Linked DNA regions of Kluyveromyces lactis. The protein of the gene in region 1 interacts with the protein of each later gene in a pairwise test. Links are inferred from orthologs where the notes say so. Each region holds a gene or a part of one and is shown in the gene's direction. Other genes may lie near its edges.

What was found.
Region 2: the proteins of DPB11 (region 1) and CHK1 interact in a two-hybrid assay, tested with the Schizosaccharomyces pombe proteins (2 studies listed by BioGRID). The link is inferred for Kluyveromyces lactis from reciprocal best matches to the Schizosaccharomyces pombe genes rad4 and chk1.

The regions. Positions count from the first base shown.
Region 1 is NC_006042.1:1,324,688-1,330,724, reverse strand, and holds DPB11 (protein kinase activating protein DPB11), read left to right. Parts: upstream 1-2,853; coding exon 2,854-4,863; downstream 4,864-6,037. Other genes in the region: SIP4 (Sip4p), read right to left, coding at 1-1,800; GWT1 (glucosaminyl-phosphotidylinositol O-acyltransferase), read left to right, coding at 5,169-6,037. UniProt on the Schizosaccharomyces pombe protein: Essential component for DNA replication and also the checkpoint control system which couples S and M phases. May directly or indirectly interact with chromatin proteins to form the complex required for the initiation and/or progression of DNA synthesis.
Region 2 is NC_006042.1:118,049-123,608, reverse strand, and holds CHK1 (serine/threonine protein kinase CHK1), read left to right. Parts: upstream 1-2,048; coding exon 2,049-3,608; downstream 3,609-5,560. Other genes in the region: phosphatidic acid-binding protein CHM7, read left to right, coding at 1-332; KLLA0_F01298g (UBX domain-containing protein), read right to left, coding at 440-1,621; DNA-binding protein RIF1, read right to left, coding at 3,664-5,560.

The DNA.
Region 1 (6,037 bases):
CCAAATGGTGACCCATCGTTTCAACAACTTCTTGTATTTGTACCAGTTGAACGTTTCCTTTGGTTCATTCAATAAGTTCAACAAACAGTTCTCTATCAATTGTTTATTGTTCAAAGGCATAAACTGAACAGTCTTCAAGATTCTCGAATTTATTGGTTTCACGTTTGAATTATCGGATAGGATTAACCAATAAAGTGATATGATTTCATAAGATAGTTCCACGGAATTCGGTTGTTGTAAATATCGGCATACGAGGTATACCAAAGTGATACCGATTTCAAGTAAGTCGTTGTTTTCCAATTGAATTTGTTTGAAATCATGGTCTTGTAAATGGTGATAAAGTTTCCATTGGTAAATTAATTTGTAACCGAAGGATTCTATCAACAGCTGATATTTATTGTTAGTCTCATTAGCTAATAATTGAAGGTGACAACCATCCAATTGCAATATGAAATCATAAATGAGTTGGAACATCTTCAAATGAGGTGGGAACTCTGAAATGGTTGGTGGATGGAATTCATCGATTAAGAAATTAGTCTTAGGTAATCCGTTGATGAAACACCACCAGATCTGGAACACTTGGAATTGATAAAACGTGAGAAGCCTAATAACCTTTGACGTTGAGTTTTCATGTCCAACAAGATTGTTGTAATTCAAGAACAAAGCTGAATTGATGATCATATACTGGTTGAAATTAATCAAATCGTTAGTCCAAATGACAGAGTATGGGTTCTCCTGGGACATGAAATACCGTATTCCGAAATTCATCAGTTGAATCGATGATAATTTGTCCTGCGACAAGGAACCCAAAAGTTTAACCGCCTGGAAAATCGTCTCGTTATTGAAACAATTCAACTCGAACTGTACTATAAGTATTAGTACAATGGACACCGCAGGGTCAGAGACAGTCGAAGTCCCGGTTAGTACCGAGATCATTCGTTGGTGCCATGACGTCCCCAAGAGATATGGGAAGATTTGGTTCGAGTTCAAGTACTTATCAATTAATCGTATTACATCCTCAGCAGATAAGGGGATATTAATCGGTACACCGCTCGGTGAAAGTGGGAAATGTCGGTTAAGGTACGATAGAACCGGGTCCTGTACGATAGACCTTGTATACTGGAAAGACTTCAACTGAGATTTATTATGGTTGACGATCGAATTCCAGGTGAAATTACCTAGATACACTTGGTCATGGATATAGTTTGGGAATTTATGGAAAGTATCATTGATAAAGGGTAGGAACGTGGACGCAGGGGCCTGGGCCGGTACTGGCGCTGCCGATGCCGCTGGAGGAACCGAAACAGAAGACTTTGTTCCCATTTCCCCCACAGAGTTAAGGAATTCCTGGCCAGCAGGAATAACACCCGTCTGTGCAGTAGCTGCCACGGCAGCTACTGCACCATCAATCACGGTCTCACCGTTCTCGTCCACCATCCCACAAAGCCGCTGCAACTTAATCACCTCGTTCTCCAACATCTCCGTGTAACCCCTAGGGAACCCGCGTCTTGTAAGCTTATCACTAGTCGAACAATGGTACCCTATCTTCTTACAATTGGAACAACTAGGCTTGATACCGTCACATTTAATCTTCTTAAGCCTACATCTATCACATGCCTGTGAAAACCGTTTCACTTTTGTTGATGCCGTAGGCATCAACAATTTCTTCTCATTGTGTTTGTCGACTTTCCCATATTTACGCTTCTTACCTGACTGACTGCTACTGTCATCACTGCTATTACCAGTAGACATCTTACCAGCAAGCACGCCCTTTACATCATCCTGCGAAACACTTGGCATAGTGATATATACATATACTTGGCGCTACTACAGGAAGCTTATAGCAAGCTTACGTTCCAAACAGAAAAAAAAACATCTGATACCTACCATAAACCTTCCGGTTCATGGTTATATGGCAGAACGTTTCCCCAGGTCCGTTTGTCTTATATATCTGATTCAGAATCATGAATAATAATAATAATATTTGGCTATAAAAACCCTCGAGAAATCTAATTCAAGAAACTAAGGCAAGAAGAAACTACCTTTTAACAAGCCAAGAGAATAAACCAATGAGATAACCGAGATAGCTGGGACGTTTGAAGAATTTCCCTTAATTGATGGATCCCAGAAACTGACATTTGTGACATTTCCACAAGTGACGTTGGACATATTATTCAGTATTCGGTATGCTATAGACTATATAAGAGGGCTAATTAATATGCGTTAGTAGTGTGTAATTCCAGTTTTGCAATTGTCCCTTTCAGCCGGATCTGGGGAAAGGAAGTTTTGGGGACAAAAAAAGCGGTTCTAGGCGCGGTTTTCCGTGTAGTCAGCAAAAAAATTTGTGCAGTTATATCGGTTTATCGTAGGGAGAGTAAGGACCTGAAAGGATTTGTCCGGATGAAAGGCTAACGGGGAGAAGTCACAAGTCCGAATGGTGTATGGGTGGCGATGTTTGCCTGCTTCTTGCAATTTCACATGTGACAGATATATGAGTCAGCTGGACGGTTGCTGACAAGGATGATGACTCGACGGGGGGGGCGCCGGAAGGGGGAGATTCGCTGTAGTCACGTGGTTAGTGTTTAATTTTTGGTTTTGGTTTTCGTTTTCTCAGGGTAACCCTGGGTAGCTTGTGTTTTTCGTCCACGTGACCTGTAAACAAATGTCATTTTACAACTCTTCTCTGTTTATTATTTTCCACACATAAACGCGTATTTACACAGATATCCAATCCATCCTTCCTTCCTTCACATATGAATGGTGATGATGTGTCTAAAAAGCTGGAACAAAGGTGTAGATAGCTTCTTCTTCTTCTTCTTCTTCTTCCTCAATTCTCCCTGAAGTAGAGCAAACATGTCCGGCAAACCATTTCAAGGACTGGTGTTCTGTCCTACGTCTCTCCCGTTGTCGGTTTCTGATACCATCTCACATAAAGTGACAAAACTCGGTGGGACTTATACCAAGGATTTGACAAGACTAGTCAACGTATTGGTTGTTGGAGAGTTATTCACCGCAAAGTATAACTTTGCTGTCAAGAATAGAACTGATATCGTGTTTGTTAGTCCGGGATCCGTTGATCAGTTGTACGATGCGTGGCTCGCAGGAGAAGATCTGTTGCAGTTGGCTAAATTCGATATGTCCCAGTACTTAAAATCGAAGTACTCTATCGGGTCGTTTGAAAAATTTAACTTGTTCATTGGCAGAATACGACCTAATAACCATTATTCTCTTGAGTCGTTGGTTCAGTTGTGTAAATTGGGTAAAGTGAAATCGGTAGATACCACGCATTTCATTAGGAACTCTTCGTCATCCAATGCATGCATTTCGTTGTTTATTACCGATGATTTATCGGGGAACCGTGTCCAGGCTGCTTTAGAAGAGAACGTTCCCGTAGTGCATCCAAAATGGATCATTGATTGTATGGACAGATCAGGGACTCTAGACTTTCAATCTTTCTACCTGTTGAAAAATTGTCATGAACTTGAATACTCTGACATTGGTTCTGGTTCGTACATTCGTGACGTTCCAGATAAGAAAAAATCTGTAACTGAACCAAATCCCATGGGTGTACAAGATGATTCGGTGAATCCGTTGAAGATTGCTATAGATAAATTTAAGCCTCAAGCGAATCAGATATGGGGGAAACTATTGGCAAGAGATGGTGATGCTTCAGCGTCAAAGTCCACTGATATTAAGGAAGCCACCCCAACGCATCAAGAATGCCTTGGTGAGACAAAGGATACACCGACCTTCCTGGACTGTCACTTCGTGCTATTCAAGTTCGAAAAAAGACAGGTTACTATCTTATCTAATGTCATTCGCGGTAATAAAGGAACGTCTTCCCTCTTCGAGGATACATCACCGTCACCGGCACAGCTGAAGGATAAGACCATTTATTATATCTGTCCAAGTGGATTTCCGGCAAATCTACTGCCGAGAATCCCAAATGAATCATCGTGGTTGACAGAATTCTTCATCGAACGATGTTTGTATTACGAACAACTCCTACCTCCGGATTTTTGGTCAAAACCTTTCTACAACGATTTCAATATCATTCCACCTAAATCGGTGTTACATGGCCCTAAACTTTCCTTCCATATCACAGGGTTCCATGGCGTGGAATTACTACACATCAATAAAATTATAGACTTTTTGAAGTTGATTGGTTTTGACCATCATGAGAAATTGACGAAGAAGACGGATTTCTTACTCGTTAACATCTCCCAATTGACTTCAATACCACAGGAACATACTTTAAGGCAAAATAAGTACGCGTCAATGTTCAGGACAGATTTGGATATGAAGATCTCTGTAAATCAAGCTCAAATGTTTAGAAATTCAATGAAACGGAAAATTGAATTCGTTAAGCAAGCTCATCATATTCCCATCCTAACTCCAAGTTTTGTCATTGAACTCTTCCAAAGAGCAATGAAACCTAATAAGACTTCCATGAACATCTACTTTAATGACGTTAATTGGTGTATTTCTTGTCCCAAGGGTTCTAAATCTGACTTTGCACTACAAATAATTCCAAAGGAAAGAGGAAACGAGGATCCTTTGCTAGAGAAACCCGCTCCTGTTGATATTGCGGCACCTCTGTCAACTGCCTCTTCTGCATCAGCAGAACTACCTCATGTTCCAAATAGAGGGAACCGTTGGGGGAAACTTCTTTCAAATAATGTAGATACAGAGAATGAGGAATCAAGCTTTATCCAAACTGTAGGTCATGATAGTGACCATCTTTCGCATACTCAGATCACGTACGGATCAGCATCAACGTCGACATCTGTGCAGCAGAATTTGAAAAGAAGGAAGATTTCTACCAGAAGCCAAGCTAAAGACATCATTTCTCATGTTTCATAAATCTCATGTATTATTACGTCACGCCATATATATGTATGTATATATGTATACATATCCATTCGGATATTATCTGTAACAAGATCATTAACATTCTTATTCTGCTTAGAAGTGCCTCTAACTCCTAAATGTGTGTCATTTTTACGTGTCTGAACCTATATTCCAGATTTACTCTTCTGTGCATGCTTCCTTTAAAAGTGAAAATATTGACAAGTGTCATTCTACCTGTTTATTAAGCTCTAGATCAATGAAGGTTCAATAAAGGAAGTAAGTACAAGAAACGTATACAGGCTCGGGGATATCAGACCATGGATGCTTCTGGTGTAATTGATGAATTGAAACACCGGAAGGAAGCTTTCGTTACCGGACACTCCGGAAGTTCAATTGCAGATTTACGAGATGTCACATTAGCCGGTATTTTTTCTAACGCCGCTTGGATCTACGTCGTTTCGAACAATCCCAGCTACCGGGACTCCTTCTGGTTAGATTTCTTATTGAATTGGATGGGTCTCCTCTGTAGTGTTACTGTATTTGGGGAAAACCCATTTCTTACAGGTATATTAGGTTTAAGTGCGGTGCTATTATTTGGATGTATATCTAAGGGAAGTAAACGCGAAACGATTAAAGAAACTGTAATGGACAATGGCAACCAGTCAGCAACCCTCACAGTGTATAGGAGTACAATGCTGATCTTAACTTCCATTGCCATATTGGCTGTAGATTTCCCTATCTTTCCTAGGAAATATGCCAAGGTAGAAACCTGGGGCATTTCATTGATGGATCTAGGTGTTGGATCGTTTGTATTCAGCAATGGTATTATAAGTTACAAAAGATTAAAATCTGGAACTGAATTATCCAAATGGGCTAAAATTAAACAATCATTAAGGTCGACGGTGGTACTAGTGGTATTGGGTTTCATTCGTTTGTTTTCCGTTAAGGCTGTAAACTATCAAGAACATGCAACCGAATATGGTATCCATTGGAACTTCTTCTTTACCCTTTCATTACTACCCCTTGCAATGATTATTTTCGATTTCTACAACATGAGATTGAGATTTGTTATAGGTTTGATTGCAGCCATTATCTACGAGCTTTGCCTGATATACCATCCAACCTTTCTGGACTATTTGTTAAATGCAGAACGAATAGATTTTATTTCTGCGAATAGAGAAGGAAT
Region 2 (5,560 bases), about 1.2 Mb from region 1:
TTTCAAACATATTAGATGATTTCCAAGAAAATACAGAGAAGCAAGACCGTATTCATAATTTGTTAGTAGGAGAGTCGGTTTCCGACAATGATGCTCTTGAAGAAGAATTGTCACTGTTAGAGAAGGAGCTATCAACAGAGGATACAAAAGAGAAGGAGAAAAAGAAGATCGAAGAACAAAAATCTGCAGCACCTTTGGAATCTGGCTCAACAGAAGATTTGATAAAGAAACTTGGATCCTTGAGGGTATCGAGCAGGGACTCTCCTCGTGCAGAGAAGACGGAAGTGAAGGAACCGAAAAAGGAAGAGATGACCGAGAAACTGTTGGCCTAATTCTTCCGATAAGAGTGATTGCTCATATTTGGTATTAATATGTATATTTAATTCGTTCATGCATACATATGATATTTAACATAAAGGCGATTCATAAATCAGGTGTGCTATCTGCTGTTGTCGTCTGAGACATGGCCGTAATGTATAGAAGATGGAGAGACAGCTCTTGAGGGTATCGATGCATCAGAGTGTACCAGACGAGGGGAAGATAAGGGAGAAACATATCTAGATGAAGCTTGAGATGTTAATGCTTCAGCAGGTTCAGGAATATTTTGATCAACAACCGTTGATTTACCGTACCACCAGGACGTCACGTTCTGATACATTTTCCCAAGCAAACCTGGTCCTTCTACATCTGCAATCTTACGAGAATATGTATGCTTTTCCAAAGGCTTCAAGATTAATGCAGATCTTGGAGTAAGCTCCAGAGCTTTCAAAGATAGTAATTCTTGTGATTCTGTGAAAGTTTCACGTGGAATACTTCGATGGAACTGGTACGGACCATCCTTATCTGTCCTATTGGCATCCACCCAAGTCCTTACATCGTTTAAAGTTTGAGACGAATCGAAATCGTTTTTCAATGTCTTACCGTCTGTTAATCTTATAAGCAAGGTGCACACTGCTGCGTTTATTATATCTCTGTTTTTAATATTATCGTGAATGGGTACAGCCAATACTTCATTGATGTGTTCCTTAGTATGATTTGGAGATGATGACGATAATCTTCGTTGCTTCATTTCTTCACGGTCCGCTTTCATCAATCTAACAATACGTTCTCTTTCCTGTTGTTCTGTCAACTGGTGCTTCTTGGCCTTTATTTGGTACTCCATCAATTTCGCATTTTGTGACAGACAGCTACCGGACCTGGCGCCGGTATCACCAGCGGCACCAACGGTATTGGATGCATCAACGGCATCCGTTTCAGAGATTCTCCTCTTGCTTTTACCAACTGCCCGGATCAACCTAGTAGCAAATCCGTCCATGTCCAACTGATCTGGATTTATCATCTCCACTATTTGTCCCTTAGCAATACAATAAACGCTAGGAACCTTCACATCCGGGAATATTTGCTCAAAGTAACCCATTTCCCTGCTTCCAGCAGCTAAACGTAACCAAACGCACGAATCCTTCAACTGCTCCCCTACAAGTGGTGTAAACCACGACTCAAACCACGAATTATCTCCGCCCGTAGTATAAACCAATAACGCCTTGTTCTCTCGCAATGATTCTTGTACCGCATTTTCCACAGAGGAAACAAAATGCGTATCCAGTGTATCCATCGTATTCATATTTGCCTAATCTTACACTTACCACTCCTAAAAAGCTCACCACTGCTTCGTTGCTTCTATCAACAGTATCGGATTTGTTTATTGTTCACTGATTAAACTATAAACGTAGTAAAACCCCTTTCAATGTACGTTTTTATAAATGCAAAGAAATGACAGAAACTAATGACTATCGCAGATCTGATCAGAAAAGAAAAACAATAGTTTTATGATGATACTTATGGGGAAAACGGGATTTATATACGAGTCTCCGACGTGTTATCCTAGGTAAATCACTTGGGGTTCAGTTAGGACGGTTGGATGATATTTTGAGCACATCAGTTGCGTAAATATTGAATGTGCGTTTGGCTGATATAGCTGGAGATTTCTGAGATACGAACCGACAAGAACAAAAAAGAAGTAAAAGAAGAACACTTCGATTGATGTATTGATGAGCTTTTCACAGATAGCTCAGCTCCCTCATATTGATGGATTACAACTAGGAAGAACAATTGGGAAGGGCTCCTTTGCCTTTGTGAAGAGAGCTAGTTTAGAAGTTGATCCGTCCACTGTAATTGCTGTCAAATTCATACATCTTCCTTCATGTGAGAAACAAGGTATGAGTCAGGAAGATGTGTTGAGGGAAGTTAAGTTACATTCTAGATGCTCTAATTTTGTTAATGTGCTAAAGGTTATAGATTGCAATCTTTCTGATCCGTTTCTTTGGATAGCCATGGAACTGGCTGAAGGTGGTGATCTTTTCGATAAAATCGAACCTGACATTGGAGTCGACTCGGAAGTCGCCCAATTCTATTATAAACAACTTATAAAAGCTATAAGTTATCTGCATGATACCTGTGGTGTTGCCCATAGGGATATCAAGCCGGAAAATATCCTATTGGATAAAGATGGGAATTTAAAACTTGCAGATTTTGGGCTAGCATCGCTGTTCAAGAGAAAAGATGGATCAAAACGTATTTCTAGAGATCAACGAGGAAGTCTTCCCTACATGGCACCGGAAATAATATACTGTGATGGGTACTATGCTGATATGACAGATATTTGGTCCATTGGTGTTCTATTATTCGTTTTGTTGACTGGAGAAACGCCTTGGGAACTTCCTCACGAGGACGATGAAACGTTTAGAAACTTTATTAAAGGCGAAGGAAAGCTAGATCAGGGATCTTGGCTGAAGATAGATTTCGTTGAATTGAATCTCTTGAGAAAAATATTACAACCAGATCCAGAGAAAAGAGCTTCTTTGGATACTTTACGGAAACATACATGGTATCAAACAAATCCGAAATTTGCAGATGAAAATGGCCTTTGTAAAAATCCTTCTTTGCTTGCAGAAAAATTACTATCAAAGCTTAAAGTTTCTCTATCAGATGCCGATTATTTATCTTCTACGCAGGAAGTGTTTGCCAATCAACATGCAAAGATGTCGTTCACCCAACCTCTCAATCGTGAGCTTGCACATATAGATAGTTTACCGGCTAATTTGCGAAACGGCTACTCTGCCACTCAAAAGGTTACATGCAGCACGAATTTTTCAAGTGAAAGGGAATTAATGACGCAGGAGCCATTTTCAACCAAGAGAATCCAAGAAGATCTCGCTTCCTTGCAGTTTAATATTAATGATATGAAGCTAATGCCTAACTTTTCATCTGACAGGCTAACTAAATTTTTCTCTACTGATGATATTAGTGTAATCCTCTCAGACCTAGAGAATGCTTTGGTTGCATATGGTGTTAGAGTGAGTAGAAATCTTCACGATAATTTCTTGGAACTGAAACGGCAGATCGGAGAGAGTAACCCCTATCCTGTGTCTATACAGCTCAAAACATATGATAGAAATAAGCTCCCACTTTCAGGATCTCTAGTCATCATGCAGTTGGAAGGTGATCTGAAATCCGTTACTTTTGAAAGGAAACGGGGTGACCCGTTAGAATGGAGACGCTTTTTCAAAAGAATAACTGTATTCTGTAGAGATATTGTTTACGTAAATTGATCATTCCGAGAAATATTTTTGTTATGGATAGGAAAAATCTGACTGCAACATGTCCTTAATCTTCTAAGTTTAACATAAAATTATACATTACCTTTCTCAAAAGCTTCTTATCGTTGTTGCTTAAAGACTTCACATCATCAATATCGACATCATTTAAACTTGAAACAATTCGCATAATTTTTTTTGTATGATGCTGTCCTTCACAATTTGCACTTGCAACATCACCAGCTGAGTTCATCAGTTCTAAAGACCGCTTCCCTGATATATAGGTATCGCCTTTCGAAGCAAGATCCTCTTCGAGTTTGATAACATCAGTAAAGAAAGGATTAAAAATTGGTATCTTCAGAGGCAGCCCAGATGGGGAGTTAACGCTTGTCACTGTATCAAGGTTCTTAGATATCTCATCATTATTTGCAACACCTGGCAGACATTCGCTGACTTCAGTGCTGCTATCTTTAATAGAAGGCGTTTGTTTTTCCATTTCCCCTGATGAAACTTGTGACACTGCATTCTGCGTTGTTTCTGCTTCAAGCTTTTCGGATTGTACACTAGCAGCCATTTTTACTGGTTCATTGTCATTAGAATTTTGTATAGGCTCAACGACTTTTTGGCACCCCGTTCGAATTAGCTCATCTGAAGTTTCCGAAAGTGTTTGCAGCGGAACTTCAAGCTCTTCGGAGGAAGTTACCTTAGTTTCGATAACAGATAATGTAGATAAAGGAAAAATATTTGTATTATCTTGCTGTTCATTATGTTGCAGCGTCTCACGATCTGATACCTTTTTATTTTCCTTTGGAGGGATGAATTTGTATTGTCGAGTCGAGTTTCTTTTTGCATTGGCTTTGAACACATTAAGCTTTTTCAACAGAGTCTTATTACCTTGTATCTTGAAATCAGGATGATTTAAAAAGAGCACTATTAGTGAAGTTCCATATTGTTTTTCCTTCGCAGACTTCATGATATTAACTACATATTTCATAATATCAGTGAGAATTTTTGGATTGCTTCCAACGAAGTAGTCCACAATAGCAGGAAAGATTCCTTTCAATCTTTCTTTGTCATCAGCTGATAATTGTTGCTTTATATCAAATATGAAACTGAGTAACTCCTCCGTTATTATATCAAATACCTGATATTTTGTCTGTTTTAATAGCTGCTCCATTAAATCGATAACGTAAGAGGGATTTAGATTCTTAAAACTATCCCTGAGGAAATCGATAAGATCCGAATTGAGTTTGCCACTTTCATTTATCATCCGAGCAATTGTGTTTGGTTTTATATTTTCGAACTTTATCTTTCCAGCTGTCAAGAAGTCAACAATTTTGTCTGAATCTCTGCGTAGCAAGCAAACTTCGAATAACATGGACAGTAAATCCCAGTCTTGATGCCCTATTGAAGATTTCAATAACATATCCATGATGATATTCCTGTCATTGTTAAGGGACACATCATCATCAGTAGGTAACAATAATTGGTATAGTAATTCTGTATTCGACTTAATTATGCTAATCTCATCGAGTGTTGATATGCACAAGAAAAGCTTGGTTTTAATAACATCATCGTACTGCTGTATTTTGGAAAATGAGGATTTTACCAGTGTTGCAGGTAAGATATCCAATAATGACAAATCTCCTAATGGTGAAATATCATCGATAATGTCTGGATTTTTCTCAAGGGTGTCCTTAATGATTTGAGTTTGTTCTGCATTGATCAGCAGTGCTGTCAGCTCTTTGAATGCTGCTGGTCTATTCCAGAGACTTTCAGTCAACATGCGGACAGTTTCTTGACTCCAAGAGTTCTTTTGTTCTTGAATCCATTTTTGGATAAAGTTGGCAAACAAATGATCATTCCATGTTGATAAGTTCAATTCACCTGCAATACTTCCCCAGTTGTCCGTTTTACGCAGCCAAGTAAACAAATTATCAATGACTTCAGGTACTGGCATTTTATTG